Linked DNA regions of Drosophila melanogaster. Changing the gene in region 2 together with the main gene of any one other region gives a genetic interaction. Each region holds a gene or a part of one and is shown on either strand. Other genes may lie near its edges. The genes, in order: Xbp1, pcx and O-fut1.

The links.
Region 1: of pcx (region 2) and Xbp1, changing one suppresses a phenotype caused by changing the other (phenotypic suppression), as found in Drosophila melanogaster (one study listed by BioGRID).
Region 3: of pcx (region 2) and O-fut1, changing one suppresses a phenotype caused by changing the other (phenotypic suppression), as found in Drosophila melanogaster (one study listed by BioGRID).

Annotation. Positions count from the first base shown.
Region 1 is NT_033778.4:21,138,952-21,149,988, reverse strand, and holds Xbp1 (X box binding protein-1), read right to left. Parts: upstream 6,441-11,037; 5' UTR 6,113-6,440; coding exon 5,853-6,112; intron 5,789-5,852; coding exon 5,125-5,788; coding exon of another isoform or gene 4,529-5,124; 3' UTR 4,239-4,528; downstream 1-4,238. Other genes in the region: CG30389 (uncharacterized protein), read left to right, coding at 44-648; CG15657 (uncharacterized protein), read left to right, coding at 1,875-1,959, 2,019-2,275; Hmg-2 (high mobility group protein 2), read right to left, coding at 2,499-3,225, 3,285-3,688; CG9406 (uncharacterized protein), read right to left, coding at 6,792-6,890, 6,943-7,153, 7,206-7,443, 7,502-7,514; magi, read left to right, coding at 11,016-11,037.
Region 2 is NC_004354.4:2,221,025-2,232,182, forward strand, and holds the start of pcx (pecanex), read left to right. Parts: upstream 1-4,271; 5' UTR 4,272-4,686; coding exon 4,687-4,839; intron 4,840-4,881; coding exon 4,882-5,203; intron 5,204-5,257; coding exon 5,258-6,208; intron 6,209-6,297; coding exon 6,298-9,309; intron 9,310-9,365; coding exon 9,366-10,823; intron 10,824-10,973; coding exon 10,974-11,134; intron 11,135-11,158. Other genes in the region: CG14052 (uncharacterized protein), read left to right, coding at 2,827-2,844, 2,914-2,981, 3,236-3,641. UniProt on the Drosophila melanogaster protein: Involved in neurogenesis.
Region 3 is NT_033778.4:14,155,828-14,166,283, reverse strand, and holds O-fut1 (O-fucosyltransferase 1), read right to left. Parts: upstream 4,855-10,456; 5' UTR 4,822-4,854; coding exon 4,704-4,821; intron 4,649-4,703; coding exon 3,558-4,648; 3' UTR 3,230-3,557; downstream 1-3,229. Other genes in the region: CG8323 (uncharacterized protein), read right to left, coding at 1-141, 560-695, 759-1,006; eIF3m (eukaryotic translation initiation factor 3 subunit m), read left to right, coding at 1,753-1,797, 1,914-2,093, 2,148-3,086; CysRS-m (Cysteinyl-tRNA synthetase, mitochondrial), read left to right, coding at 5,123-5,133, 5,193-6,858; CG13016 (uncharacterized protein), read right to left, coding at 6,888-7,151, 7,228-7,789, 7,844-8,079, 8,148-8,417; CG13018 (uncharacterized protein), read left to right, coding at 8,880-9,077, 9,138-9,179; pea (peanuts), read right to left, coding at 9,251-9,798, 9,855-10,456.

The DNA.
Region 1 (11,037 bases), on a different chromosome or scaffold from region 2:
TTGTTTTAATGTTGATAGCTAGTTGATATATCCACTCCCGCAGACCATCGTCGCTCCAAGGAGGATGAGGTCATCGATCTCAAGGCAAAGATTGCCCAACTTTTGGCCGTGATGCCAGACAACTTGTGCATGAACACTGGCCCACATGGGCCGTCGAGCAGCATTCTGCGCATGAACGACACGCCGCCGTTGCAGTCGGGTCCCGGACCGTCCTCGCCCATGCTCAGTCTGAGCGCTGCGCAGGAGTACCAACAGCATCAGCAGCACCAGCAACACCAACAGCACCAACAGCATCAGCAACATCAGCAACATCAGCAGCATCAGCAACAGCAGCACCAACAGCATCAGCAACATCAGCAGCAGCAGCATCAGCAGCAGCACCAACAACATCAGCAGCACCAACAACACCAGCAGCATCAGCAGCAGGGTGGCGGTGGGCCTGGGTCCCAGCAGCAAATGGTGCCGGTCAGTGTGGCAGCTGCCTTCCAGGTGGCTGCAGCAAATGCCGCTGCTGCAGCCAATGCCGCTGCTGCCAACGGAAACGGGGGCTCAACGCTGGATCCCAATGCTAGCGTTTACACGCCGAAGAATGGCAACATGATGGTGGTGTCGCCGGTGGGCATGAACCCCAACGGTGCGGATGCCTGACGCCAACAGCAGCAGCAGCAGCAGCAGCAGTCCTTGACGTCATCGTCGTCGTCGTCCTCGCACATGCATCTGCGACGACAAGTTTGAGATTATTATACTTTATATGAATTAGGGAAAAGAAACGCAAACAACCGTCGCCACAGCAAACGATGAGCAGGCCGTAACCTGGTGCCGGTTCCAAGAAGATGTTTGCATACAATATCTGAATGTCCGTAATATAAATAAGCAGTTTCCTTTAAAATTTAATCACCGCCACAGAAGCGCAGGCAGCACTGATGAATGCAGCTCAAAACTGCTAAACATTTCCCCCCCTTCCAAAAATTCAAATTGTTCAATCAAATCCAATTTCCTCAATTAATTCGGCATTCCAAACAGAAATTTCCTTACATAACTGACCGCCCGTTTCAATATTCTCAGATCATTTAAAGCACTGTTTTAAATCGGCTGCCCGCCACCACACCACACACCACATACACATTTAGTAAACTCCCTCTAACACGAAAAGTACATGATTACTTTAACAAGATGATTCGAGAACTCGAGAAACATTTGAGAGCGATAAGAACAGAACACAAATTTCTAAAAATAATAACAAAATGAAAATGGCGATTCGTATATTTTTTAATTCATGAAGAAAGCCAAGGAAGTACCCCCCAAAATCCTATGTAAAATGTTTTCTATTTTTTACCAAACGCTGTGACAGAGTTGGACCAACCGAAGTGATGGCCATGATCTTGGGGAGATGCCAGGAGTTTTGCACGACCTCTGCCTCTTGCCCAACGATTCAATGGAATATTTTTGAAGTCTGCGCCCTTGATTTATTATCTCATTAAATTATTTTTGTTATAAAACCTTAAATGTATGCTATAATTTAGAACCTATACTTTTTGAAAACAAACATCAAACGAAAAACGATTTTCTTTTAAGTTTTAATTTATTTTTGTTTAGTTCTGCTGTTCCTAAGAAACAAAAAATCGAAAACAACTAAGAGAAACGCTTTAGTTTATTTACGCGAAGTGAAACGTCGACTATTTTGTTTAATAATAAAGAAACCTTTCGCTGCGAGAAGCAAGTATAAATTCTATTTTGATTAATTTAGTTAATTTAGTTTTTCTTATTGTTTCATAGTCGTAGGAACCTTTGCTTCAGTTGTACTTTTTGACTTTTCCCAGTTGCCCGAATCGCTTTAGCAGTTCAGTTCCACCAGGAAATTCAACAAATCCAAAATGCTGATCTACTATATTTATAGTGTGCTTGAAGCCATTTCGTATGCGATCTACACAACAGTGGCCACCATTTCGAGCATTGAACGTAAGTGTATCGCTCACGACCATGTTCGCCTTACTCAATCGGCACGACCCGATCCACAGAGGCCCTAATCAACCTGATGATGTCCACATTTCTGTTTGTGCTTGGGATAGCGTGTCACCCGGTAATGGTGATTCCCCTGATGCTGGGAGGCTACTATATTCTACGCAACTGTTTGAATCGTCGGACCAAGGCGCCAAGGCTGCAGAGTTCCGTGGATGGCGATGCCGGACTGATCACGGCAGGACCACGTAAAGTGCCACGTTTTCCCTCTCATCGCAGCCTCGCTCTCGGCGTTGACGCTCCCAAGGACAACTAAAAATGAGGATATTCTTGGGTACATACGAGTAGTCTCCTAACTTACAGACGTTAACAAATACAAAAGTGGGCGCTCCCAAAACTTGGCTACATACAAATGCTGCGGATATTTTATTGTTATTCGGTTTTCTCTTTTGATATCCTTGGCATTGATAACTATTGTTCTATGACTATGACTATTGTTTATGGTGAAGTTATTAACGCTATGAATACTGTACTATGAATCACGGTTTTAGCAAGCTACTGGTGTCCACTTTACGCAGCGCCTCTCGTGCCTTAATCAAAGTGACGTTGCTTGGCTGAGTGACGAGCCCGGCTAAGTGCCGGATGTACTTGTCAATGTTGCCAACGCTGGGACCACTTGGCTCCAGTGGTGGCATCGAGATTCCGCCGAGAGCTGCGACCAGTTTCTGGCGCAAGGCGCGCAAATAGGTCTCCAGGCGTTGGTTCTCCTCCATGAGCTCAGTTACCTCGCCCATCACCTTGGCGTACCCGGCTTTCGTATTATCTACGTGCTGTTCCAGCACAGCGTTCTGCTGCTCCAGATCGGTCTTGGCCTTGCGCAGCGTCCTCAGCTCATTCTCCGTGCTGCGATTGTGTTCGATGAACTCGTTGGTGTAGATGGGTATCTCGCCGGGCTGCAGCGGTCGTGGTGCAGGTGTCGCAGGTGGCACGCTGCTGGGAGGGGGCTGTACTGGAGCCGCTGGCGGTGTGGGAGGCGGTGGTGTCTGGGCACGCTTCACCTTGGCCAGAGGCACATCATCCGGATCCTCGCTCTGCCGCTTAACCGGCTTTGCCTTGGTCTTCTTCGCCTTGCCCAAGGCTGATTCACCCTTCGGCGTCTTTTCCTTGGGCGAACCATCCAGTTTTGTGGCTTTCTTGGCTTTGGCCAACTCGTTGGCCACAATTTCGGGGTGTTCCTTGAGAAACATTTGCAACTGCTCCTGATATCTACGAAAATGGGAAGATATGTTTAGATTTTGTGGGTTGGAAACGAAGTGTGAGCTTACATGGCCTTGTCCTTGGCGGCTGCCTCGATGTAGGGCAACTTGCGCTCCTCGGGCAGCTGATGCCACTCCTCGCCGATGATCCTTGTGTGCTCCAGGGCAGTACGTTGTGGCTGCTCCCGTCGCAGTTCCTCGCGTCGATCGTTCATGAAGCGGACGTAGCCATTAAGTGGCATTTTTGGAGCACCGGCTACGTTGATCCGGCGCTGGGCCAGCTTCTTCAGTTCGGAGCCGATGTCGGAATCCGAGTGGCGACCCTTTGGATTCTTGGCTTTCTTCTTTCCCTTGGCCGGTTTGTCCTCGTCGAAATCTTCAATGGTCGCCGTATCCATGGATTGGGAGGCGATGGGCAGTGATACGGGTGATTCCGGAACCGCATCCGGTGTCTTGCTCGTTGGTTCCGTCATTTCTGTTTAACCGTACACTCTATTGCATTTAAAAATTGTTTATCTTTCTGCAAAATCACAGGTATGTGGTTCGTAAGCAAAAACTGGTTCAAGTCTATAAACAACTTTTTCGAACTAGTTCCGAAACAAATTCGCTTTTGCTGGCGCATTAGGGTGGCTCTATTTATATTCTTTAAAAAATATATTTTTCGAGCTTAGCAAAATCTTGTTTAAATCCTAGTTCAGTTTGGAGAAAAACAGAGCTGTATTTCGTCTTATTAATGAATAATATACTAATAAATAAGGTGCATATATTTCAGAGCATAGTTGTGGTTTTATTTCACCTATCCGCATTATCTGCAGTCAGTTCAACTCACTTTTTGTAATATATATATATTTGGTTAATAAAAACAAAATGACTCATATGCTTACACCTAAAACTGTCCCATCATCTACGCAGAAATTGCGTCATAAAAAAGTGGCGTGATGCTAGAGAAGTGGCGTGATTAACTATTTATCATACGCAGTTCAAAGTTCTGTTTCGCCTAGAGTAAACAAAAACAAAGAGCTTGTTGTTTGGTTTGGTTTATATTTTGAATATTTTTTAGTCAAATGTTTTTTTTTCAAATTCTTTGAGCACAATACATACATATAAGAGTAATCATAAGCCTATGTGGTTAGAGATTGTTAAATATAAATGGAAACCTACAGCTAAACTTAGCGCTCTAACTACAGTATCATATATAAAGCCTTCGATTATGAATTTATGTACAGCCTATCAACTAAAAAACTTAAACAAACGGCGGCCGGCCAAACTTAACAATAAAAGAGAGACAGAACGAAGTTTTCAGCTTGAAAAACTCAGATCAAACTGGGAAACAGCTCGTCAAAGTTGCTCTCCCAGGGGAAATCGTCCTCATCTGCGGGCAGAGTGAGAGCCACGGATGTGGGAGAGCCCAGTATGGACTCGTATCCATGGTCCGAGGTGGCCGAGTGTAGAGACAATGCGGGGGATTTGGCCAACGGGGAGATCGCCTTAACGCGCGGACGTAGGAATCGGTCGATCGGATCGAAGCTTTCCTCGTCGTCCGAATTGTCGACGGCGTTCATCACGTTGAGATAGACCTGTGACGGAGACGTCGCTGGCGGCGGACACTTCATGATCACGTCCGTTGAGTCGTCGCCAGCGCTGACGCCGTCACAGTAGATCTCCTCGACGGCCTCGTTCACCGGCACCGCATCCCCGTCCATCACGATGGTGATCGAGTTCGTCTTGGCATCATACGTGCCGTACACTGTGTCCGGAGTGGCCTGTAGTTGCGAGGCGGCCGCTGTCGCTGTGATTGTGGCTGTTCTCGAGGCTGGCGCTGCTGTGGTATGCTGTGGGTTTCCATTTATCTTCAACATCTGCACATTTAGGCTGACCTTGTGCTCGGTTTCCTGTTCCTGCTCAACATTCAGGCCATTAGCTCTATGCCCGTCGGATTCCAAGCGCTCTGCTGCGGGCCCCACCATTGGTCCAGGCAATCGCTCTGCGTTGCCTGCATCTTGGGCAGCAGCTGGGCTGCTCGCTCCAGCGCCTGTTTCCAGGTCTGCTGTGATATCTGCGAGCAGACTTTCGGCCAGCTCTTCGAGGCGCTTGACGTCGAACTCTTCGTCGACGCCAAGCATGTCTTGTAGAGTAGGCAGAGGGCCACAACTTTCCAGAGTGAGGCCAGGCTCTTGCTGCTCTTCAGCTGCTCCGCCAGCAGACGCGCTGACGACTGTGTGTCCACCTGTTGTATACCCTGCGGCAGAGGGTCAGCTTTGGATGCTGCAGATCCAAGGTTGGTGGACGCACAGCCCTCAGCGCCTGCGCTGGCGTTGGATTGGCTGATGCATCTGGTGTTGTGCTGCTGTTGCTGCTTCAGTTCGGCGAGTTCTTGGCGCAGCAGCTCCAGCTCCGAGTCCAGCTTGTGGTTCTTGGCCAGCAGTGACTCGTTGATGGCCTGCAGGCTATCGCACTTGTTCTGTAGTATTTCCGTTCTGTCTGTCAGCTCCTTGATCTCGTAGTCCATCTCCTCCATGCGTGCCTTCTTGCGGTCACGCGATGTCTGGGCGGCCACACGGTTCTTTAGCTTCCTGTTGTTCGATAATAACAGTTAAATAAGGCGCTCAAATTTGGTTAAAAGTTGGGTGGACTTACTTTCTTTGCACTTTCTCCTCCCAGGTTAGATGGTCCAGGCGACGCTTCTTGGCCTTGGGCTGGGATGCAGCCATGTTATCGTCATCCATGTTCGACGAGGATGCGTATCCCGAACTCGAGGGCGTGGGCGAGGCGGAGGGCGTGGCCGACACCTTCAGCAGAGCTGCCGTAAGGGGGGCGGGCCGCAATTTGGGCAGATTATTCGATGTGATTGCTGTCCGCGGCACGGTAATTAGCACTGTGTTTGCTGTGGGTGCCATGTTTAACTGGTTCGGGGCTAAATGATAAACTGCTGTGTGCTGTGTGCAATTGTGAAAAGCGACTTTCCACTTAGATTTGCATTGTAAGAGCGTATTTTAACTTTTGCTTGTTTTAGGTCGTCTCATGAACTTCGACTGCGCTTCTCGGACGCTCTGCTGGTTTGAATCTCTTCATCGCCGCCGACTCGGGCTTTTCTGGCTCCGTCTCACGCAATTTTCTCATCCACCTTTGCAATATCGACCGACCAGTTTTCCTTTCTGCTGACGTGTTCTTTTCCGAATGGCTGTGAAAAGCTGACGTGTTTTTCTAGAAGAGTTGGGGTAATGAGGGATGGAGCAGCACGTATCGGGCTATCGATTACAAATTCAGTTAATTTAGAGCAACGATGATTTGTAAAAGCGCTTAAATGTATTGTAAATTTTTTTTTATTGGATTTAATAAATATATTGTAACATTTCAGGCAATATCTTAAAACAAAAAATAGTTCCTTAAATTTTTCACACAATTCATTTTAATATCCAAACATAGAACAACGACTATGCCATCTCGAATTGCGCATGGCAGTGTGACCGTCTATATCTCAATGTGGAACAGTAAAAACGAGAAAGGAAATTATTTGTTATAAAATGTATAAATTTATTTTCCGCGTTATTTGCAATTGCTTGATTAAAGGGGCATCTAAAACAGTGGTTGTTGTGGTTTCTTGCCCTTTTCTTTTTCGGCTTGTGCTAGTTCCTCCTTGATAACCTCGGCAATTTCATAGATATCAGGCTTGTGCTGGAAATTTTAGATGAATCCAATCAAAAGTAGTTGGGAAATGCGATCTTACCCTGAGTTGATTTATGTAGAAGGTGTAGGGAATGTGTCCAGTAATGGGATCAATTGCCACAGGCCACATAGCATCCAATTCTTCAGCGGAGAAAGGTTCTCCTTCCTCCGCCATTAATTTGCCGAAGTACTCCTTGGTCAGATATTTTTTATTTTCTGGATCCAGGGTCTCAAAGGCCTCGAGAAGCTTTTCCGACGAGGCTGGTTCCATTCTGTGGACAAATATCGTTAGTTGCTAAACAAACCTAAAGTATATTGAATAACTGTCGATCCATCAGCAGTTTGGAAACGTGTTCCATGAACTTCACCAAATGGGCTTCGCCTGGATAGTCGACGGAATCGGTGGCTTTAATGACATCTTCGACCTCTTTTTCGGTGGGCGCGCAACCTAAAAATCGGAGCACGTTGCCGACATTGCGGGAATCAATATACTTATCGCCATGAGTATCAAATATGCAAAATGCTTCCGAAATCTTTTCCTCGAGTTCGTTGTTTAGGGTAACTACAAAAGGTTAGTGATATCAAGCGGAGGTGCGATGCTCATTTTATGTAATGCCTACCACCAACTTCCATCGCGGGTATATACTTTAGAATTTAATAAATAAACTGATAATTTTAAAATACGATTTATTTTTTCCTGATTTATATGTTTTCTGATTGAAGCATTATTAAAGGTTTGCTGTTTATATTTCGAATTTGAAAATAACGATCGGAAATCGATAATGGCGCCAAGCAAAGGGTATCGCCCCTGTGGTCATACTAGGTGTGGTGAATATCGACCGATAAGCATCAGTCGATAACTGCCTGCGAAGCAGTCGTGTTGAGCGTCGCGTTATTTTGTTTTCTGTTTTGTTTTTCGTTTCGTGTTTTTAATTTGTTTCCCATTAATTTGCAATTAAAGTTGAGACAATCGTTTAGCTAAAGATTTCATGTTACCCAAACAGTGAAGTTCGAGACTTTCCAGTGCCTTTTAAAGGACGAAATAGACTGCATTTGCTTGTTGTCGCTGAGCATTTGCATCTGTGTGCGTCGTTTGGCAGCAACAGGTTTTCCAACTCAACTCAACGCGCCACCTCAGTTTTCATTTGTTTTCGATATTCCGTGGAGTGCGGTTCGCGTTGCGGGAAAATCGAATTGCAATTGAATGCAGCGTTAAATGGAAAACGAGCAACTCGTTTCACATATCGTCGCAGGTGTGTAACGTCGTTCGGCGATTCCAACGGGTTTTCCAGGAGGTTTTTGGCCCACAACAAGTTCAAAAACTTGGCCATAATACCACAGTTAACAAGTGCCACTGCAACTCTCAGTTGTGTTGACAAGTGTATGTGCATGTGTGTTCAGAAATACGCGTTTTCAGAAAAAAAAAGAGAAACAACGAAAATCACCATAAAAATGGAAAGTGTTCGACACTTGGATGCTCAAAACTGATCATCGATCCCTCGCTTAACACTCGTTTTCGAGCCAAATAAATAAGCAAAACAACTCAAAACGGCAGCAGAAATAAACAAGGTGCGAATTTTGAAAGTGACTGAAAATGTTATTTATCTCCCCCATTGACATTTTTCCAATTTCTGCCCATGGCATTGACCACTTTGCTTCATTACCCGATAGAAAGTTTATCTCTGATCGATGGCAATTAGCGAGGCGTGCGTGAAAAGATAAATATTTGCAAATGTATCTGGCACTCGACTGTTGAAAGCTAGTTTCCATGATTGCTGATCAATTTGCATGAAAAAAAGATGATTTTGTTTACTTCGAGCATAACTTGCTAGTTTCTGAAGAACTGTTCATGCTTTTATCAATGCTTACTAGTACTAACAGTTAAGACTTTCTTTTGCTAATAATAGGTTATATCCTCATGCAATCAAATCCCAACTTAAATGTGCAAAAATAAGAAGATAACGTGCTGGCCTAACCACATTTGGATATGATTGCAACTCACTTCACAGTAAACCTCAGGCGCCCATAAACGCCGATGATGAATTTTCCCCGTGCAGTGAAATTGTGGCCTTAACTATTCGCTTTTCACTTGCTTTTCCATAGCCGCTCCCCTTGTTGATTGCCATTTGTTACTAGGCATTTTTTTTCTGGTCGTGCGCCGCCTGTTTGTCGAAAGTGGCCCGATCTTTTTTTTTCCTTTTCCTTTCCTTTCCTTCCTTGCCTTCAACCAACTTTGCTTGCCGCTCCTTTTGCGGCTTTTCTCTAATGGGAAATGCTCAAACGACAGGTGGCTGGGCACATACATTTGCGGTCTGCGAAGGATCTCGGTGTGGCAAGTGGAGCAACCACCATCGCTACCACCATCGCGGATCGTTCCTGTTACGTGTCCCTACACTCAAAGAAACGAGCAGTGGAATTGGTACTTTTAGAGCAATATCCCTATAATTATGGGACACAGAAAACAGACAATATCCAAATCCTTATCAAATCGTAATCCACAAAAGGGACTCTATACGTTTTCTTTTGTGTACTTGTGGGGGTTGCCTTTCGGTTTTCAGTTTTCGTTTTTCGGTTTTCAGTTCTTAGTTCAGTTTTCGGTTTTCTGGCGATCTGCTGGCATACTCTGAAAAACTTGTTTCTCTCCGCCGTTGTTTTGTTTGTCGTTTCTGGAATTCTTGGCTTGGCGGTGCCCGCAGCTCGCTGTGTGCCTCACGGAGTACTCCCCCTGCCCTGTGGCCACCTCCATGCCGCTTCCATCCACACAACGATCGTCGTTGTGCCTTTTTTCTCATTGGAGTAAATTTTTCGCTTGAGGAACTTTATGTTGCTGCCGTGTTTGATGCCCCTTTTTTCGCACAGTTAATTTTCTTATTCCTTACCCCGCGCTCATAATTGTGTGTGTGTCGTGAGTCAACGTTTTCATATTTGCAGCGGGGAAACTAGCTCTTTTATTTTGAAATACATATAAATGCATATTCAAAAGTAGCGAGAGTTGCAAACTTGCCTCAATCTGCTCTGAAAATATAATTTGTTTTAAAACTAGCTGGCTCAAATGTTTAACTGCACCAAATTAAACAAAGAAAGTTTGTTTTTTTTTTTATATATGGATCCAAGTAAACCGAGCTGGTTTTCTTAAGCGCACTTGAAGACTGCAAAAAATGGCTTTAAGTGGCGAAAATTTAAGATAAACCTCGCCATGAAATGCACACAAAAATAATTATAACTATGCGTCTGGCATGGGAAAGTCGAAGCAGCTCGCCGTTAAATTGCAATGTCAACAATGGAGGGGTTTTTTTTTCTGCGGCTATGGTTGCCATGGATACTGACTAGCCTAACTGAACAATCTACTGATTGGCCCCACTTGCAACTGCAGTCTGGACCAAGCCATCGAACAATGCGCTTGTCTGGCCGGGAGCTGTCTAACTGGATAGTTGGCTCTGGGACTTGGTTTGGAGGTTTGGAGGTGGAGAGCGAGCTGGTACCACCCAGCAATGTTGGATATTCAAAGTATGTGGCGATGATTTTCATGCCATGCAGTTTAAGTTGCGGGTATTAAGGAATTTCATAATAATAAAGTGTTGTAAATCTTCAAGCAAGAGTTCCCAATCTCTTGAGATTCCAGTTAATGGAACTCAGCTGTTTCTATTGGGTTGCTAAATATATTGCTTTAAAACACCAGTTTTAAATACATTTTAGCAAATATTAAAAGAGGTCGCACATATTTGCATCTTAAAATAAAAATGAGCATCATGCCAAATCGAACTGAAGCGTTCTTTATTGCTTTACGATTATTGTATGCATACACATGGTAATTGTTTATATTACTTTGCATACTGCTAATTAATGGTTTCTCTTTTGATTGTTCTGTTTTGCAGCTTCACGAACCGGAATGACAGCTCAATGACATAACAATTATTTAAACGGCAAAATGAAGAAGCGTTCAAAGTTTATCTAAAAACATTCACGCAGACAAGCGAAACAAAGCGAAATCGAGACAATCGACAAAAGTATTAAATAACGAAACTCAAATGCAATGGAGCCAAATAGCGCTAGTGCCTGAAAACAATTCAACTGTGTGAGAGATTGCGATCGCAGCTAAAGACAGCTAAAAACCAGGCAGTCAGCCGGCTTAAAATGCCAATAATCACGGCCACGA
Region 2 (11,158 bases):
CTGCTTTTCGCATATGTTCTGTTGATTCAGTTCTGTTCTGTTGATTCAGTTTTCTTGTTGGGGCTTTCGCTTTAATAACGATGACGCATCTTGTGAGGTCACTCGCCAGACTTTTGGGGGATGTCGATATTGGGTATCGGATTGGAAATGAAACTGCTACAGTGACGCACTAACTGGCCAGGGTGCGGACCGTAATTGGCCATGATTTACGGCAAAAGGTGGCAAACAGTGGGAGATGGTGGAAAATTGTGGTAAAGAGTAAAAGCGGGAAATGCGAAAGCGAAACTCGCGCCAAAGACATTGAAAATACGACTTCCTCTAGAGGGGAACTGACTATCTGCCGCGTGGGAGGGTCCAATTTTGGGTTGGGGTTCGGACTGGGGCTGGGGCAGTTCTCCCCTCTCTTTCGCCCTCCAGCCAGTGGGAGCACAGAGTATTTCTGGACTTTCAGAACCTGCACACAGTGCACACACACTCTCTGCCAGATGAATATCTAAATATACAAGTCTAAATATACAGGAATAGTTGTGATGTACGTCCGCCACTTATGGAATTTTGCTTTCGATTGATTTTTGCCATTCTCAACGCCCGGTTTGAAAATTCGAGCTGTGGGCTGGGGTTTATTGACTTGGCGGTTCGTGGCCATTTATGGCTAACAAATTCCAGCCAATGTTGCAGCAACACACACACTTCCAATCGGACAGGTTGATCGGAGCAGCTTCTTATCAGAAGCTCTAGAAGTGCGCTACCTAGTACACCAATGGGATTATGGATATGGATCGCAGATTCTGTTTCCAGGCAAAGTGCTCCCAATTGGGATAATGATCTGAGCCACACACACACACACACTCTCACACATAATACACTCAAACAAAATCGAAGTCTCGAAAAATCAGCAAGTGGGTCTCCCGAACGTGATCTCTCTCTGAACTGGAATCACTTTGTTATTGCACATTACTTCACTGCTTCTTTTTCGACTTTGTCACTGGGAATTTATTAATCACGACACCACTACTCTTGCAGCAGCAGCAACAATTGGTTCACACACAAACGCACCACAACAAAAACATAAAAGAAATGCAAATAAGCAGAGTGAATAACAAACTAAATGTAGCAAAACACTGCTGCTCATCACCAGCTTGTTGACGGATAATTCATCGAAATGGAATTACTCCCTCTATATGTATGCCGATGCTTAGTTATTTACTTTGTCTGGCTCGATTTTGCTGCGCCCCAACTTTCTTGCCCGACTGTTCTTTCAATACTAAAAAAAGATTTCGATTGGGGGGCGCACACACACACGCTGGCGCACTCAGCCAGTCTGCGCACAGTGGGCGTCATAGGCCCAGATTCTGGCTCTTCTAACTGCGAAAGCTCAGCCGATTAACAGCTTTTTAACACATTTTGTTTCAACAAACATATCTTATACGTGTAAATTATTTTCTTACATGCATACAGCCTATTTATCTTAATTAGTTTCGAAGTTAAGAAATCCAATTAAGCATAAAAATAGAAGAAATGTGCACTTAAGCCCACTTGGAGCGAGATTTTGACCACTGTTCGAGGGTGACGCTATTATCGCTGTTCTCTATTCTTTCGCTAGCTCGCTCGCTCGCTTTTTCTGTTTCCCCCTTTCTTAGCCGCTGCTTCTTCTTGCCGCTGGGACTCTGGCCGATGACAGCCAGTGATATCGATAGGCTCCGCATTCTATGAGTGATCGTATTTGAAATTGAATAGCGAACAAGTTCGGGATTCGCAATTAAATAACACCCGCAAATCTGGCAAATCGCCTGTACGATTGCATAATAGAAATATGCTCCATGTGCATGCGATCTATTTGTAACGTATTTCTCTATTTCTCGCGTTACGTGCCATGTACTCAAGTTAGCCGGGGAGTCGGGCGGGGGCTTAATAAATAAATCCAGGGGCTGAGCGACCATGCAACATATCTTTGTGAGTATTAAACACACGCTGCACTCCTGCTATTTACGTTGACTGAGTTTGGGTCTTCGGTGTGGGGCTCCGGCTCCTAGCTATTGAGTGCAGTTTTCCGTGCCTTCCGTCTGCGTGAGCTGCTGAAAAAAGGCATAGCTTTAGAAGAAGTTCACACACAGCCGAAACAAAACGGAAAAACAAAGAAAATAAACAATGGTAAAAACCCATCAATGGGGACGGAGCTCTCATGCCCTGCAAATTGGGGGAAAACCGAAGTCAGGGGTTACATTAATTCGGTGAATTGGGCAACCAATAAAGGTGGCTTTAGAAGATCCGAGCTTTTTATCTGATAGGTAATTGCAAAGTCTAGGTCTAATGTAACGCAAAAATTAGTAGCTAATACAGGTGCAAACTCCATACTTTCGTTGTGGGCTTTTATATACATAATATACACGCGTGATTTCTTCTTATTTTTAACAGTGCAAATTCCACAATTTGGGGCTAGCCTCCGTCTCGGTAGAGAGTAGTCCTCCTCTGGCTGAAAACCACCCACAATCCATGACACGATGATCGCTGCCATCCGAAATGAATGGAAATTGCAGGTTTTTCACTGAGCAGCCAACTCCGCTGTTTCGCGGCGCGTGCGCAGAAGCTCCACCAAGTGTGGCTCCACCAAAGCAGAGCGAGGCCCATGGCTCTGCCCATATCGTTGGTGGTGGACTGCGTCACGGAAGCGCAGAAGCCGCCAACTGGCGTCGGGGTATTCGTATTCCACCGCATTCCGTGTGCCTGCGCCTGTATAAATAAAATGGTCGCAGTGGGGCAGCAATCAAAGCAGCCGCTTCGTCGGAGCCTTCAACACCTCAGCACCTGGGTCTCAAGCCAAGCGATATGGATAACCGCAGTTTGGTGAGTGGCGACCGGGTATTGCAACTACACAAGGATTACACCCGATATCCGTGCTCCCTCTATTCGCAGCTCCTGAGGCTCTCAATTGTGGTGGCGCTGGTGTTGCTTCTCGTCTGCGTGCCGGAAACGGATGCGGGGTATGGATTATCATGGGGACTACTGGGCCAGATAGAGGATACATCGCGGCACAGGCCCCTTAACTTAAAGCGTCATTCAGATTAACGAACATTTTACAACTTCAAATCATAGAAAGCCAATCACTCTCGCTAAATAATTTCAAACGAACTTAGCTAAAATATTTAACTTAAGCTATATTAATAATCTTCCAAACGAAAAGTGTATGGAATCAAATAATTTATTAGGTTAAAAATGTATTTGCTATCCTTTTCAGGGGCCACCAGAAAAAAAAGAAAATCGTGATCCACGTGCCCATTCACAAGAAAATCGAAACGCACATACACACCGTGGTGAAACACGTGCACCACCACCACAAGCCACTCGTCCTAAAGGAGGAGAAGAAGGTGATCCACGAGGACCACCGACCCATCCAGATTCACCAGACCAAGGAACACATTCACCACCACGAGAAGCACGATCACCATGATCACCACGACCACCACGACCATCATGACCACCACGAGCACCACCACCCACTTCCGCCTCCGGTGGCGCCTCCAGCGCTGCCGGAACTCGAAGAGGAGGAGGAGCACATCCACCACCACCACAACTATGAGCACAGGGGCGGACTGCGAGACGACTTCATTGGCGGTGACGGGAGCAGCAGTGAGGAGCGCTGACTATGCAGCGCCCATGTGGGGGCGCAGACTGACCGGATGCGGCAGACGTGGACCGATCGATCGGATCATCCCGGATTCTTGTGATTCCCTAGATACGTACGCACTCTTTTTGTTTTTTTTTTTTTTCTAGCCTAATGGAAATGTGAACGGAAATAAAGTTAAATCGGAGGAAGGACTTAGTTTTAGAGAAGTGTTAAGGGCAACCAAAGACAAGGTTATTCATATTAGTTTTTTAGCCTTGCCATTATTTACTAAGTTAGGCTCTACGTAATGTTAGTAACGGGGTTTGGTAGTTTTAGCCCTTAAAACATTTATTTCTTTTGAATAAAATTGTACATTCATGGATATATAATTTACTATTAATAAATATGTTTTATATTACACTCAATTAATCGCTGTTAAAACGTATAAAAAGTTTACGAAAATTGAAGGTAATTTCATAAGAAATTATTAAGTTAACAAATTTAATTAATGGTAATGTAAAAAAGTGTGTAAAAGAAAGAAAATTTTAAATTTAAATACCAGACTGCAGTGTTACCATTTTTCCTAGTAATATCGAAGTGCGATAGGGCCCGATAGGTTCGGGCCAATAATCGATGACAGGACAGGCTCTAAACAAAAGAAAAAAATTAAAATTACAGCAGGATTGCGAGCGATATTCGTTTTATCCCATTGCAGCATCATTGAGATCCCGGAAAACAAACAACGGCGTAACGCCAGTCCGGAGTTGGAGTGTTTCCAGAGGAGCCGCAGCATTGTCTCCTGTCCCACAGCTTTCCCTCAAAAAAACCAGCGACTCTGCCTTTGCCTTCCCCTCCGCCCCCGTTCACCACCCACGCTACCACCGCCTCCCAAGGCCTCGCCCGCAGACCACGCCCCCCGCCTGCAGCTTGGCAGGCTTACTCAGCAAATAAACAAACGGAAGAGTGACGAAGTGCAGCGGCAGCAGAAGCAGCAACTCCTACTGTGAGTAATCCGGAAGCTGGAGCAGCAAAAGCGTGGATCCTCATCCATTCGGCGGCTAAGCGATGCAGTATAGGCCACCATGGGTTCACAGACCTTGGAGATTCTGCGCCAGGGCGTGTGGGCCTCGCTGACCGGCGGTTACTTTTACGATCCGCATCAGGGTGTCTTCTGCAACGTGGTGCACCTTTACCTGTGGCTCTACCTGCTCTGCTCGCCCTTCGTGGCCTACCTGGTAAGTAGTGACCGAGTGTAGTCCTAAGTAGTCCGTTCATAGATCTTCTTGCAGTACTTTCCGAGCACTTGGTTGACATGGTGCCTGTATTGCGTGATAACGAGCTTAACCATACTGATGGTAAAGCTGGCCAATCTGGCGCTGCACAGGCTCTACGATCGCGCACAGACCATGTCCGAGGGGAACCTAAAGGGGCAGTTCGTGAAGGTCACCAAGGAAACGGAACCGCGCCACGACGACGAGGGCGGCATCGAGATGAAGGTCATCCGACCGGGCGGCTCACGCATTTCCGGCGAGCAGGCCATTAATGAAGCAAGCGAGGAGAACAGCATCATGTCCATCGACAACGTGAACAGCATTATTGGTGAGTGGTGCTTCTTGTGCACACGTGCTATAGCCTAAGAACTCCTCTTCGCAGATCTCAAGGTCGATGTGCATCGCAAGAACAGCTCGGAGTCCATTGAACTGATGTTCTACGCCCCATCCATGCTATCCGGCGGTAGCCAACAGGATCAACAATCGCTGGCTGGTTCCGCCAGCGTTAGCAAGTCCATTCGGAGTACAGGACCGGGCGGAAACTCGTCCACCAGCGCCGCCGCTCAAGCAGACATGTTCAACAAGTACCTCACTGTCTATCCGGAGGTTGTCGAGGCGGCTGGAAGCAGTGCGGGTAGCGCAGATGGAGGAAGTAGTGGTGGCGACAGTAGATCAGGCGCAGCAGTGAGTACACTGGGACATACAGGAGCGGGAACAGCACCAGCCCAGCACGTACGCACTGGACATCTGTCGCGCAAGTGTTCTGAGGTGTTTAGCCGCCGCCATCGACGACGTCTCGAACGGCAGAGCAGCTTGGACACAGCGGCGGCAGCTGCAAACTCCAACGCGGAAAACAAGTTGATGCGCAATCAGTCGGATACGATAGCCACAGCGGCACCCTCGTTCCTGCACTCTCAGCCAACGAACAAGGCGCGCGGTCAGACCAATCCGCGTCAGCACTTTATAACCAGCGCCCCATCAACAGGAATAGGCGGAGGAGATGCTCCCACTTCATCTACCGCCGTCGTTGTCATTGCCCCCGCCTCGAACTCATTGGTTAATCCTGGACGTTCCTCACGTCTGCAGCGCCACAGAAGTTCGGAGACGCATGACGAGCGGCTGAAGCACCAGAGCCGTGGTGGACTCTTCCAGCCCATTCTTCAACTTCCGCACCACAGTGCAGCCAGCAGCATCGGCGCACTGGCAGTGCTCGGTGGAGGAGGCAATGTTGCCGCAAATGATGTGGAAGACATGGAACTGGGCCTGGTTAGGAATGCGGGCAGCGGCGGAGTGGCGGATGCTTGTAGCCGGGCACTACAGTCCTGGATATTAGGTAAGCTGATACAATATCAGAACTCTTCATTGTCGTAGTTTAGAAATCTCAATAAATTAGTTTTAATATGTACTATGTTGCCCATTTAGATCCCTTTCCGGATGGGTACCTGGAGGACGATAGCTACACCAAATCTGATCTGGGCATTGAACAGCCACACCAGCCAACTTTCCGCACCCAGCATCGTCATCACCATCACCACCACCACCTGCATCATCACCTAGGAGGTGCAATCATTCGTAAGGATCCAACCAGCACAATGTCTGCACTTCAATTGGCTGCAGTCACCCAGCCAGGAACGGGAGGATCGGTAACAGGCGGTGGTGGAGCAGCAGGTGGAGGTGGATCTGCTGCTGGTATGAAGCGACGCAGACATTCCAACGCTACGAGCTACAAGCACGGCTCGAGCCAGAGCAACAAATCGTCTCTGGTGGGCGGCGGAGGTTCCAGGGGTCCGTCTGGAGAAGCAGGCACTTCCGGAGGGGCCGGAGGAACTGGTGGAGTGAGGCGCATTAAGAGCGCAGCCCTGGAGGTTCTGTGCCCGCAGCCCTCTGTATCCAATCTTAGTCCACACCCCAACAGCGTGGAGGCCATCTCGGGTCAACAACAGATGCGGAACCCTCTACCACCTCCTAGCAAAAGTCTGGTGCGAAACCAGCACCTTAACCTTTATCCTACGCAAGGCTATGGCGACGGAACTCCCTCCGCTGGAGGAGGAGGGCCTGGTAACAGCAGCACATGCAGCAGTCTCTTTTTCGGCAGCTCCAGCGCCTGCGGTTCCACAACAGCATTGATTGAACCTCCAGTATACCCCATAGTGGAGCACTCTGACGAGAAGACGGCGCACGAAGAACACGGTGATGATTGCTTGGGAATAGGACAAGGCAACGCCGACGATGACGATGAGGTGGACGACGTCCCGATCCGAAGAAGAACGCGGGCGTTAGGCTGCAGCCAAACGCACTACAGTGTTGAATCGGATGTAGGTGGCTTCTTGGCAGACGAAGTCGGTGCTGACGAGGATGTGTTTAAAGATTTCGACGACAACCTTGAGCACATTCTTAGTGAGCTGCAGCAGACGCATAATCAGCTGGATGACGTCCTAAAGACCCACGATCTCCATCACCACTCGCATTTGCACCATCATAAAGCAGCATCAGTGGAGGGCGCTGGGCCGTCGGGAGGATCCGTGGCAGTAGGGGTAAGTGCCGGAAATGATGACGAAGACGAGGAAACGGAGGATAATAACACGGGGTCGAGATCTCCATTGCTCAACGATCGCAATCGCCAGCCGGCAACACTGCGAGAGATTCAAGCTGACAAGCAACTCCGTCAGGAGCTATCACACCAGTCCGGGGCAGTAATTCCTGCCCCTAATCCTCCCGTCCCCATACGCAGCGAGGCGGACTCAGGCTGCCCTTCAAGTGATTGCGAGCAAGTGAGCGCCAGCTCCAAGGACCAACTCCTGTCGGGAATAGAGTTGGAGCTGCAGCAGTATCAGATCCTGCAAAGGTGTCAACTAGACGAAGAGCAACCATGCACCTCGAAAATGGCTGCCAAAAGCCTGGGAGCCATTCCAAAAGTGGTAAAGTACCGAGAAGTGGATGAACTAAGAAGAAGACGCAGAGGAGGCTCCCCGGCAGATGCGGCTGAGGCTGGAAACGAGTTTGCCCTAGTCAAACAGACCAAGCAGGCCTCGCGGAATTCCTCCTCCTCGAATTCGACGCACAGCATCAGCTTGACCGATAGCCTGACGGCTGACATTCACAAGATGCTCTGGCTGATGCACGGCGGAGCCGTCGATGACCGGGGCCGTCCAATCACCGGCACCTCGGCGGACGGCACTCCAATCCCGGCAAGCAGCAGCCTGGTCCCGCCGAACATGTCCAACGCACACTTCCAGTTCTACCAGGATGCTATTCAAGCGCTTCAGGGCACCCATCCCACTTCCGGTTCCAGTGTGGAACACATGACCAACATTGAGTTGGCTAGGGATAAGTTGCGCCTGGATGCCAAATTGATGTGCGAGCAGCTGGTTGCGGCGGCGGAGGCCAACTCAGGAGTCCGAGGAAACACACTCGCAACTCAGCAAATGACGCAGCAGCAGGTGGGCATGTTAATGCGCGGAGGCTCTAGCTCCCGGCACCCATCCAGTGCTCCGTTCTCGGTCCAAGGATTAATCAATGTGATCCGAAGTGAGCGCCCGGCAGCGCGCAGTCAATTGGACGCCTTGCAGCAACTAAGTGATGCAGCAGCAGCATTGGCCGCTAATGCCAGTGAGGCTGCCTCCGTTTCAGCCTCCGGTGCAGGAGGAGGAGCATCGAGTGGCGGGGGAGGAGTTTTAAGCGCCCTAGGACTGGCGAATCACCCCAGCAACCAGATCAGCCAAATCAGTCAGCTCAGTCAGATGAGCCAACCCATGCTGAATGTGGACGGGCATTTTGCACCCTACTGCGACTACTGGAGACCCGCGTGCCTTCTATCCGCGACAGAAAAGCCAGCGGCTCCAAAGAGTTTCTACAAGTACCGATTCAAGTGGTGCGGCCAAGAGCATGAGTTCAAGATTGCCATGGACCGGCTAGAGCTTCTTGCCCTGTTCGACCGTGATCTCCACTGGATGCACGTCCTTCTGGCCAGTCTGCTGTGCACCCTGGTAGCCTGCTTGGGAGCGGCGATCTTGCAGCACGATCACTACAAGGATCTATGTGCCCTGCTCTTCTGCGCAGTGATCGCGGGAGCTCAGTACTCGCTAGTAAAAAGTGTGCAACCGGACGCAGCTTCGCCAGTGCACGGATTCAACAAGACAGTCGCCTACTCGCGGGCTATATACTTCTGCCTTGCCGGGGGCATGCTGTTGCTACTAAAGCGCCTAGATACGGACTACGGGGAACGGACACCGGACCCTGTGGTATTCTTTGGCATGCGCTACTCTCCTGCTGATGTGGTTGCCCTCCTTCTGCAGGCGCTCTACATCTTGCTGCTGTGCTTCCCCATCATATTCTCGGTGGGATTGTGTCCCCAGATAAACACGTTTCTTATGTACCTGCTCGAGCAGATCGACATGCATGTCTTTGGCGGAAATGCTGCTAGCAGTCTTCTAGGTGAGAACTCTTTAATCCCTATTTTGCTTCTTAGACTAATTCCTAATACTGTACAGGTTCCTTTTTGTGCGTCGTCCGGTCGGTGCTAGCTGTAATGCTGCTTTACGGACCTCTGTACGGAGCATTGGACGAGCAGCGCGGGACGCAGTACATTCTGTTCTCCATCTTCTGCGCTATGCTGGTACCCCTGGGCTACCATCTGTCTCGATGTGCCAGCGACTTCAGCCACCTGTGGCGGCTGATCAAGACGTGCATTGTGAGCACGTATCGGGACGATGAGGATGAAGATCTCAGCCAGATGCAACATATAGCAACCGGAACAGTTACTGGATCAGGGACTGCCAATAGCACTGCCCTTCAATTGACCACCAGTACTCCAAAGCAGCACAGGCAAACAGACGTAAAAACGGAACATGAGCAGATCGAGCTGAGTTCGCTAGAAAAGCTAACAGTCAACGAAGAACATCACGAGAAAGATCACGGAGCAGATGATCAACTAGAGACGGATCAAGATCTGCCTCTGCAACAAAAGCACAGCAAATCAAAAACTTCGTCCTTGGGCAGCAGTCAGCAAACCCTGGGTAAGACGATCAGCAGTAGCAAGAGGGCCATAACCGCCTCCAGTTCGTGTACCTCCATTGGAACGGGAGAACCAGCGGTGGAAGCTGGAGCTTTGACCGAGGAGGCGGTGGAAGGCGAGGAGCAACGTAGGAATACACTGGCTGGCGAGGTGGGGAGCAAGCACGAATTAGCGGAGAACTATGACCAAGCCGCCAAAATTGATGAGTGTGAAGACAAGATCTCCAGCTCATCTGCCACAAACCCCGGGGACATGTCTACGTTGACAGCGGGGGCGGGCACAGCCACCACTGATGCCACACCCGCTTGCCTGGAGGCAGATCCTGACGCCGAAGCTGAGGCACCTGCTGACGAAAAGCAACATCAGGGGATTCTGGGAACGGGAACTGGAACTGGAACTGGAACTACCGAAGCCAGTGAAAATGGCAGCGGTGGCGGCGCTAACGGAAATACCAATAGCAATGGGACTGGCAACGACCTTCCCGATCCACTACCACGAAAGCTGCAGGCTACAGTAACAACTCGGCTGAAGAACGACTTGGTGGTGATGACCCTGCTGGCGGTCAGTGTACTGGGGTTGCACTGTAGCACTGTATTCACCGCCCTGCAGCCGGATCTCAACGTGGTTCTCTACTCGTTCATCGGCGTACTTGGACTTCTCCTGCACTACATAGTGCCGCAGATGAGAAAGCATATGCCCTGGCTTTGTTTCTCCCGTCCGTTGCTCCGGCAGCGTGAGTTCGGCCAGTTTGAGGTGCTCAACGCCCCCAAGATCATGTGGTTCGAAAAGCTCTACATTTACCTCAGTGTCCTGGAGCGGAATGTGCTCTTTCCCCTGCTGGCCATTTCCTCTCTAACGGCGGACTCGCAGTTGATTGTGGCTAAGTTTGGATTGCCCTGGGGCACGCTCATCGTGGCGATCTGCGCCCTAAAGTGTGAGTCATCCGATCATAGAAATCGATCATTTGAAATCGTTATTAAATGTATATTAATATATCTAAAGACTGAACGGCAAACCCTATATGCAGATCTTCCATCTCCCTCACTTTTAAGCTAATCCCAATCCATCTATCTCTTTTTATCAGTTGTAAGGAACGCTTACTCGGATCCGACCAACCAGTACCTGATAATAATTTTTACGGTTCTGCTATTCCGCATCGACTTTGCCATGGCCACAGAGACATTCATTATAGATTATTTCTTTGTGTCGCTGGCCTTTCGCAAGTGCTGTGACTTCCTGCTTAAGGTGAGAACTTGGCCTGGCCATTAT
Region 3 (10,456 bases), on a different chromosome or scaffold from region 2:
TGCGGCCACAGATCCTCTCCACAGTCCTCGTACTCCATTCCTGGAGTAGATCTGACGCAGGGCATCTGTCATGGAAGTATGGGCATGTTGGTAGCCAACGGCGATTTGCTTGGCGGCTTGTGATTGCAGCTGAGTTTTGATCTGGATGCAAAAGAAAGGACCATAAATAATAATATAGAAATATAGACATTGTACATAAGAGAATTGACTGTGATAATATGTTAATGTTTACAATACTTATTAAGTTATTTAGCGAATATTTTTCTGTTTCTAGATCTTGAAAATGTCTTGGTATAAATAGGCTAACAATAAATGCGTTATGTCATAAAGTAATAAGCAATGCAAACAACCATAAACAGTCAAAAAATATGGAATATTTGGAAGTATAATACTTTCTCCCTGGATATCTTGAAATGGTAGTATTTAGATACTGATGGACAATTGCCAATAAAGTCTCTTATCTGTGGAAGGTCCATAATGCTGATGAGCACGCGGCTCATTTAGATAAACTATGTATTTGTTTATGTAACCTCCCGCAGCATTCCCACAATTGGCGTACCAGGAAAAATGGACTGGAGAAGTAGCACCCCACGACGCCGCCGATGGCGCCCCACAGTAGTCCCATTCCGTAGGACACCTCACCCTTCCGGTTGTGCATCCACCGCCTCTCCATTGCCTCCGAATAAATGCTGAGCCTGGCGAATGTAAATTCAAGATGATTAATAATTATAAAATATAGCTACTAAATAATTCCCCACCGGAAGGAATTGATGATGAACTGGAAGTACAAGGCCGGTGCGAGGCCCTTTTGGAGCCCCGTAATGCCATCATTTTTGGCCACCGTAATGAAGGCATTGACAATCCCCTTGTAGGGCTCCACATAGGTACCCCGTGCCGCCAGCTCGCCCTGCAGCTGGATCCGTGTCTTGATCACCTCGATGGGATTGGTGAAGAAGGTGGCCCCCACGGAGGCCAGGCCGCCCAGAACAAAATCCGATGTAGCCATGTAATCACGAGTTCTGCTGAGGATAGTGGTTGACTAGTAACGGTTGTACCGCCTGCTGCGGAATCTCTGTGGCTCTAGGAAGCCGCACGCTGCGTGTGTGTCGTGTATTTCATAATTCTCCGCCCCGATTAGCTGGCATTACTCCTGCTCTTCTCGCCCGTTATACAAATATAATATAAATTTGGCGAGCAATATAACTTAGTAGCAGCGGAGTTGCCAGACTGTCGCCAAATTAACAATTTAACAAAAATCGTGTCATTTTGCTTAACTGTAAAGTGATAAATGTAAAATAAATAACTGCTGGATGGTAAATTTAAAATTCAGGAGAAACGGGTTTTAGAACGTTAGTAACGGTACGGCTAAGAAGTCACTTAGTGACTTATATGTTTCAGAAGATCCGGGAACACTACTTTTGCCCACATTTATTGTTAGCTAGAGTCCCGTCAAAACATTTATAAAATTGATTTTTATGTCAGCATTAATACACTTGCAAAGCCATAACTATTTTAATTTTATTGAACTGAATGAATTTCAGAGGAATATTATATATTTTAAGTGGCCACGTTAACGTCATCTTAATTTAATTCGGTCAATTGTTTGAGAGCATCGCTATTAGCGGGAAACGGACCAGGCCGGCAGCACTGGTCGCTCTCTTTCCTTTCGAGCTGTCAAAGCGCCGAAGACGTGTGTGCGTGTTATTTTCAGCTGAATTTGTTTAAAAAAGTGGAATAACATTTAACAAAACCATGACTTCGCATCCGGTTTTCATAGACCTGTCCCTGGACGAGCAGGTAGAGTGAAAGTGCCCTGTTTTAGCCATGAATTCGGGCGGCGCCTTGCCCGAATTGAGGTTATGTCTTCCTCTTGCTGCAAAACAAAACTAATATTATTCGCAATTTATTAAAAGGTGCAAGAGCTGCGCAAGTATTTCAAGAAGCTGGGAGCCGAAATCTCATCGGAGAAGTCCAATAAAGGTGTGGAGGATGATTTGCACAAGATCATCGGCGTCTGCGACGTTTGCTTTAAGGATGGTGAGCCCTCGCAGATTGATGGAATTCTAAACAGCATTGTGTCCATCATGATCACGGTGAGTAATACAGAATACAATATTAGCAACAAAAAATAACCTTCAATATTTCAGATACCCCTGGATCGCGGTGAGAACATTGTCCTGGCCTACTGCGAGAAGATGACCAAGGCTCCCAATCTTCCATTGGGCAAGGTGTGCCTTCAGTCGTTGTGGCGTCTGTTCAACAACCTGGACACCGCCTCTCCCTTACGCTACCATGTGTACTACCACCTGGTCCAGGTGGCCAAGCAGTGCGAACAGGTGCTGGAGGTCTTCTCAGGTGTGGATCAGCTCAAATCCCAGTTTGCCAACTGCCCACCTTCGTCGGAACAGATGCAGAAGCTGTACCGCCTGCTGCACGACGTGACCAAGGACACCAACCTGGAGCTGTCTTCCAAGGTTATGATTGAGCTGCTGGGCACCTACACGGCGGACAATGCTTGTGTTGCCCGTGAGGATGCCATGAAGTGCATTGTGACTGCCTTGGCCGACCCCAATACATTCCTGCTGGATCCTCTGCTGTCGCTGAAGCCTGTGCGCTTTTTGGAAGGCGACCTCATCCACGACCTGCTGTCCATCTTCGTGTCCGAGAAGCTGCCAGCGTACGTGCAGTTCTACGAGGATCACAGGGAGTTTGTCAACTCGCAAGGATTGAACCATGAGCAGAACATGAAGAAGATGCGTCTGCTGACCTTCATGCAGCTGGCCGAGAGCAGCCCGGAGATGACATTCGAAACGCTTACCAAGGAGCTGCAGATCAACGAAGACGAGGTGGAGCCCTTCGTCATCGAGGTGCTGAAAACAAAGCTGGTACGCGCACGACTAGATCAGGCCAATCAAAAGGTACACATCTCATCGACAATGCACCGAACCTTTGGAGCACCACAATGGGAGCAGCTTCGCGATTTGCTGCAGGCATGGAAGGAGAACCTCAGCACAGTGCGCGAGGGTCTAACGAGCGTCTCCTCGGCGCAACTGGATCTGGCTCGATCCCAGAAGCTGATACACTAGGCGCACCACTTCCAAAAAATTGCACTGATGATGAACAAATGCTGGCCTCGGGGCACTGGAGTGACGACCTAAATTATTTTCAAGAATGCGAGAGGGCTGGATAACTTGAATAAATTTATAAGTAAAATCGGTAGCAAACAAGTGTTTTCATAAATGCGAGGAATACTTTAATAGCTTACAATTAAGTTGTAGTGTTTTTGAAGGCATTTAACGGGTTTCATTAAAATCCTTTTTAAGAATTAAAGCTAAAAGAATAAAACATAAATATACTGATATTCTTTAAAAGCACTAAATATTGGTAACATTCAAAAGTAAATTCATTAAATTTGTAAGTTGAAACTTTTACCTTAACCATTTAAGAAGTGAAGTCCAGAATATTGCTTAATCAATGTAATAAAACTGTCTAGTATTAGGAAAGAAAACCGAAAAATAGCCTATTCGAGTATTTAAGTAGATAATCCTGTTGCTCCATTACAGCTCCTCGTGCACGTTTGTATGCTTACGATCCTTTTCCTTGGGGAATCCCCAGAAGTACGATGGAAAACCGTGCACATCTCGTTCCCTTTTTTCGAATGCCGAGTAAGAGGATATACAGTTGCCGATAAAGTGGTTCGACTGTCCGAGAATGGCCAAGTCCAGGTAAGGATCATCCTCCGGCAGCTTGTGCACACTGATGCCCATGCGACTAAGGGCCGTGTTTAGTTCACCAATCATGTGATTGGAGTCTGACGCCACGAAAACTGATTTGATTTCGTTGTCCGGCTGAGTTTGGCGCACGTTCTTAATGGTTCTCTTTAGCTGGCGGATGATCGCCTCCTTGGAGGGCATGCAGAGCTCCGGGTAGAGTGCACCACGTTCATTTTTATAGCCCAAGCACTGCGGCGAGGCAAACAGATGCTGGCTATCCTTGACGTGCTCACAGGCTCTCACCCAATCGATACCGTTGCGCAGATGAATGCCCAAAAAGGCACCCCGAGGCAACTGCTCTCGGATGAAATCCTTAGATGCTTCCCTATACCGTTGACTCCACTGCAAGTAGCGCTGCAGCTTGCAGTTCTCTAGCTGAACAGGAAAACTAGCCGGAGCTCCGGTGAACGCGAGTACGGGATATGATTCTGCAGGATATTTGGTCTGCCACTTGGCAGCCTCGTTGCTATGATGCACATCAAAATGAAGTGGCGCATAGAACTCTGACCGCACAAAGTCTATGTGAAAAGTGTCCCAAAAGGGACCAAAAGGATTGCCATCCTTGGCGTGGCAATTGGGCTTGTCTGGATCGTTCTTCTCCTGCTGAAGGCTATATCGTTCCTTGTAGCAAAATGACACTCGCTCCGATTCTGGCCAAATGTCGTCGGCCAGGTGCCACATGAAATCTGCCATGGTGATGACGCGATGGTATTCCTTCAGGGGCTCCACTTCAAAATATGTGTTGAACGGTACCTGACGGGATCGCAGTTCACCCCTACGATACTCCACCCACGGCGGCAGGATCAGGGTGCGATTAAGCGCCTTGGCGAAGGCCAATGATCCCAGGAAGTGGTCGGCCTGGTTGCCAAAGCGTCCTTTGAAAAGCGCGGTTTAGTTGTCGTTTTTCGGTTGCTTCCAAGTGAAACTTACCCATACACGGACAGTAGGTGAGGTAGCCATTGGGATCGCCCCCCAATTGGGCACATGTTGAGCTTATTAATAGTAAAATTAAGTTTACGAAGCGAAGCTTCATTTTGAGCCACTGCATTCTGCCGGCTTCGATTTTCTTTGACCAGGTGGCAACTCTGTCTCTTTGCCAGATTACAAAATGTTTGGAATGCTTTTGTTTATGATGTGATATAAATATAATTGCAAACATAAATATATATTTGAAAATTTATGAAATTATATTGTGAAATTATTTTTTAATTTTATTGTGAGACTTTCTTACTATGGGCTAAAAAGCTCAGATCTGGCAACCTATTATTTTCTAATCAGATGTTATTGCTTACATGAAACTTTAGAAATAATTTTATTTAGACTTTAGACAAAATTTACAATATATAACAATGTATAGCCTGTGAGTATTTATGCGGATAGTGTCTTTTTTGTATTTCTAAGCCCAAATGTTTCCCACAGCAAGGAGGGGCTCCGGGCTCTTAACAGTCGAACGAGACCAGCTCTCATTTGCCGGCGCAACATTTCGGAGGAGGCTCCCAAACAGGATAGTCCGTTTAAATGGAGAAAACCAATTGGCCAGCACACAGGAATCAATATATACAATCACGGCTTGCGGCAGAAGGTACCCCTAATCCTACGCAATCCCCAAATGGTCACATGGTACACTTGCGGACCCACTGTTTATGACTCCGCGCACCTAGGTCATGCCAGCACCTATGTCAAGGTAGACATCCTGCAGCGCATTCTCCGCGATTATTTTAAAATCAACCTGGTGACAGCCATGAACATCACGGATGTTGACGACAAGATCATTAAGCGGGCCCAGCTCGCTGGACTGGACTGGCAGAAGATGGCGCGAGCTTATGAAGCGGAATTTCGTCAGGACATGTTGCGTCTCAATGTTCAGGCGCCGGATGTGCGCAGTCATGTGACTACCACCATGCCTGTCATTATTCAGTTCATTCAGCAGCTGATAGACGGAAAGCAGGCTTACGTTACCCCGGATAACTCTGTTTACTTTGATGTCTCCAAAAGCAAGAACTATGGAAAGCTTCAAAACTTAGGCCTAAGCGAGGACAAATTGGACCCCATCAAACGAAACACTGCCGATTTTGCCTTGTGGAAGGCGCGTAAAAGTGGCAGTGAGCCCACGTGGGCTGCACCCTGGGGTGGCGAGGGACGCCCCGGTTGGCACATTGAATGCAGCGCCATTGCAGGTTTATTCTTTGGCCGCCAGTTGGACATTCATGCTGGCGGCTTGGACTTGCGTTTTCCGCACCACGAAAACGAGGAGGCGCAGTGCTGTGCACGGTATAAAACTGACCAGTGGGTAAACTATTGGGTGCACACCGGACAACTTCATATGGTTGGAGATCGGGAGAAGATGTCAAAGTCTCTGGGCAACACGATCTCCGTGTCGGAGCTGCTGAAGAAGTACACCGCCGATGAGTTTCGAATGGCCTGCCTGCTGTCCAATTACCGCAATGCAATGCCTTATAGCGATCAGTTGATGGTGACGGCTCGCCAGACCCTGCAGCGGTTTAGAAACTTTCAGGCCGATCTAAGTGCCTATACCCAATTCCTGAAGCCCGTGCACTTGTTAGACGAGGGAGCGTTAAAGGCCCAACTGACTCATACAGTAACCGAATTCGATAATTGCCTTCGAGATGATTTCGATACCGCCAGAGCCATCAGCGTGCTAATCGATCAGATGAGCAGCATAAGTCGCTGCATAAATGAGCAGCAAGTGGACGCACAGGAGGAGCCCGCCTACTGCATTGATCTGCTGTTGGCAGCTGGAAACTTCATAAACCGTGCCATAGTCACGTTTGGTCTATCAGAGTTGCAGGATAAAGAATCGTTGCAAGAAAAGGTTTCCTTTACGGATCATAGCATTGATCCCAATTTGCTTGTGAATGATGTGATAAACGTTCGGGGAAGAATGCGGGAAAGGGCCACCTCCGGAAATGTTAAGAACCCGCAGCTTTTAGCCGCCTGTGATGAACTGAGGAGCTTGTTACAACAGCACGGCATTCAGGTCCGCGACCACAAACAGGGCAGCTCCTGGGTGTTTGCCGTGTCCTGTGAAAAGCAAGATGATAAAAGCAAAAGCTCTGCCGAATAAAAGTTAATATATTATTCTTTGGATGGTTACTACATAAATGCATCTCTCATGCGTTGTCGGAAGGGTTGATCGGGCGCTACGGCGTGCTCCGCCTTGTAAAGATCTTTAGTGATGAGGTAGTCTCGCACCAGCTTGAAGAAGGCTCCCATGCTGGTGAAGGCGACGAAGCTGATGGAGAGGACAAAGTGCCACTCGACGCTTTCTGCGCTTAGAGACCCTATTTCTACTAGTAGCACGGCAGCCTGAAGGATGGCCAATGTGGAATAAATTATGGTGGGATTGTGAAATAGTTTCTGCAAAAATTATGAATAAACTTTTTAATGATAACGTTGAACTTATGATTTAATACCCCACTTGTAAGATACTCACATAAAATCGAGCGTGACTGGCGTTTCCCGGAGTGGCCACAGTAACCATGCCATGACTTCTGTACAGGCCTCCGTTGTGCTTTACCACGGTGCCGTGGTTGTAGGAGGAGTATTTCGACCAGGTGAGCGCACTGGCGGCTACTATTAGCTGCGAAGGCGCTGGCTCCCGGTCAATGCGCTGCCAGCAGCCCAAATGTAAAGTAGCCCGATGTAATGTATCACTATACTTGGCAGGATATAGAAAAACAGCACACAGACTGAAAGCGCCCAGGCACACAATGATACAGTGCTGGGCTGCTCGGAGTACATTGTATTGGACACTGACGGCCAGACAGCAGGGCACCAGGCCAGTGTAGTAAGCATTCAGCATGGAGGTGAAGATAAGCTGCTTGAATCGCTTATTGAAGTCATGTCGGAGTGTTTCCACTTCGTCCCTTATGTTAACCGGATTGGTGGTGCAACTATGGACCGGTAGGTCGTTGATATACACGCCCGGCAGTTCGAATCGTGTGCGCAGGAAGGGTTCAAGCTGGAAGCCGAAGATCAACAGGTAGATGACCACACTATAAAAGAGAATATATGAATATCTTTGGATATAAAATACTTTTCATTCTTACGGATAGAATAAGAAGAGAAGGAGTATGTATGTGTGCTTCTGGTATAGCTTCATGGCGCAGAAACCCAAGGATAGCTGAACAAGGCCTCCAAATCCGTACTTGATTCCCAGTCGGATAAGATGCCGGCTCTTCTCGTTTCTTTTCCTGATCTTCACCAGCAGCAAGCAGTAAATCAGTCTCCGCGTATTGAGTATGAGCAGTAGATAGCGAAGATAAGGATCGATCAGCTCGATGTTCTGAGTGCATAGATAGATTATGGATTAATGTCCTTGTTGATACATATGGAAAACCTCTGCAAACCCACCACCATATGCCTGGTGTGCGCCTGTGGCAGCCACCAGTTGGTTCTATAGATGTTGATGAACTGTACGATGGCCGAACCCATGGTAAAGGCGCACATGATGAGTTCGCTGAGCCACTCGGATGTGGTGGCGTGCTCCGGGAAGGGAATGTGTTTGGGCATCGCTGTGGCCGGTGTCTGGGATTGGCCCTGCTTGGTTGCCAGCAGGTGGGCGAAGGAATCATGTGTTTCGCTAGAGCTGCTGCCATCACTACTGCGCTCGTCGTAGGTCATATCGATTGGTTCAATTGCTTGTACCGGGAGCTACATTTAAATAAATTCAAGCCACAATGTTTTTGTGCGGTTGGAGGACCAAACTTTGCATCATTTACAGCACTTTTTCTGGCTCAAAAGCAGTGTTGAGCACCGTAGAATGTTTTGAGTTCATAAAAAATGGGCGACTCCTCAACATATTAAACGGGGAATAAAGATACTTCATTTTATATATTTTATTAATTTTCAGATAAATGTGTATATAACATATTGTTTAATATGTGGGCGGTGTTCATAAAACAGTAAACAAAGCTGCCATAACCCCTTCTGATTTAGCACTACACCCATGACGGCAGCTGACTACGCTTTGAACGTTAATCAACATTAAACCGGCTGTTTGTTTATCAGCTGTCCAGTGGTTTTATAACTGGTCCACAAAATAATCAAAAATATAAATTAATATATCGCTGTATACATACGAAAATGATGCGCTACGAGGGCAACGAGAGGCTGGCCGATGAGACAGCGTGCGCGGGAGTACGTGCGGATCTCAAGATGTGCCTCCTGGAGAGCGACTGCTGCAAAATGGGCAAAACGCCGCGCCAGTGCCTCCAGGACAACAACGTTCCAGCTGAGTGCCAGGTGCTCCGCAATACCTTCTACGAGTGCAAGCGCTCCCTGGTGGGTCTCTATAAAATATCCATTATTCCTAAGCTAAACATATACCCACCCATCTTTCAGTTGGACAACCGACAGCGCTTTCGAGGTCGCAAGGGCTACTGAGTTTTAAACTTAAATTATATTTTTAAGCGCTTAAAATACAAAAAATTACAGACATAAACGGGCTTAGTCCATTAATTGCGACGTCGACGAACGCGTGAGATACGCCAGGCATTGGGCTCCTCGTACTTATTGTACAGTGGCTCCAGGCGCTGATTCTTCTTGAATTTGCTTAGCTTCGTGGGGTCCGAGAAGCGGAAGAAGGACGGAGCAAATTCCACCAACCATTTGGGATCGATCGTTGTTACTTCACGCATATACTCCTTGGTGGTCTGCACCAGCTCGTGATAGATGACCCACTCTGGCTGGCGATTGAAGAGAGCACTCGACGGATGAATGTAAACGACCTGGGAGTCGACCAGGGTACGATATCCCTCCTGCGGATCCTTTTTTGCTGCATTGCGGAAGAATCCGGAGCAGATTGCCTTCTGAATGCGCACAGAGTTTTTTCCAGCGGATACGACATCCAATTTGTGCCTGTCCATGATTCCCAGCAGCTGCTTCCTCACATCCTGGCTGCGTTTTAGAGTTCGTATCTGTACGAAGTTTTCGTAGCACCAGGCATTTGAGAATTTGTTGTTCTTCCAACTGTTGTAAACGGCCAGCAGCGTCAGATGGTCACCTGTGCAGAAACGATCGTTAGGAAATGTTTCATTAATATGATAAGGATTGACTTACCTTCCGCTTGATTGAATTTGGCCTTTTTCTGATCCGCCAGTGCCTGCTTGTCCTTTGGCCTGTAAAACACGTTCTGCACACTGAGCATCGAAACAATAGTCAAAATCTCATCGGAACACTGCAGAGCGACGGACATTATAAGCATCTTGGATAGATTCGGCTCGAGGGGAAACTCCGCCATGCGTCTGCCCAGTCGAGTAAGCAGGCCTTCGTCATCCAATGCTGATAGGGAATGTAGTTGCTCGAGCGCCATCACCAGCGATTCCACAGGCGGGGCGTCCATGAAATCAAAGTGCAGCAGATCGTTAATTCCCATTGTCTTTAGTTGGAGTACTGTTGTGGCCAAATTGGTTCGCTGGATTTCTGGCACCGGCGTGGGCAGCATTTCATCTCGATACGCACGTTCCGTATAGAGACGGTACGTTTTTCCTGGGCCTGTACGTCCGGCTCTTCCCGCTCTTTGCTTTGCTGCCGCTTGTGAAATGGGAGTGACCACCAGCGAGTCCATGCCCGTTTTCGAGTTGTACACCTTCTGTTTCACGAAACCAGGATCTACCACATAGAATATGCCATCGATTGTAAGTGAAGTTTCAGCAATATTG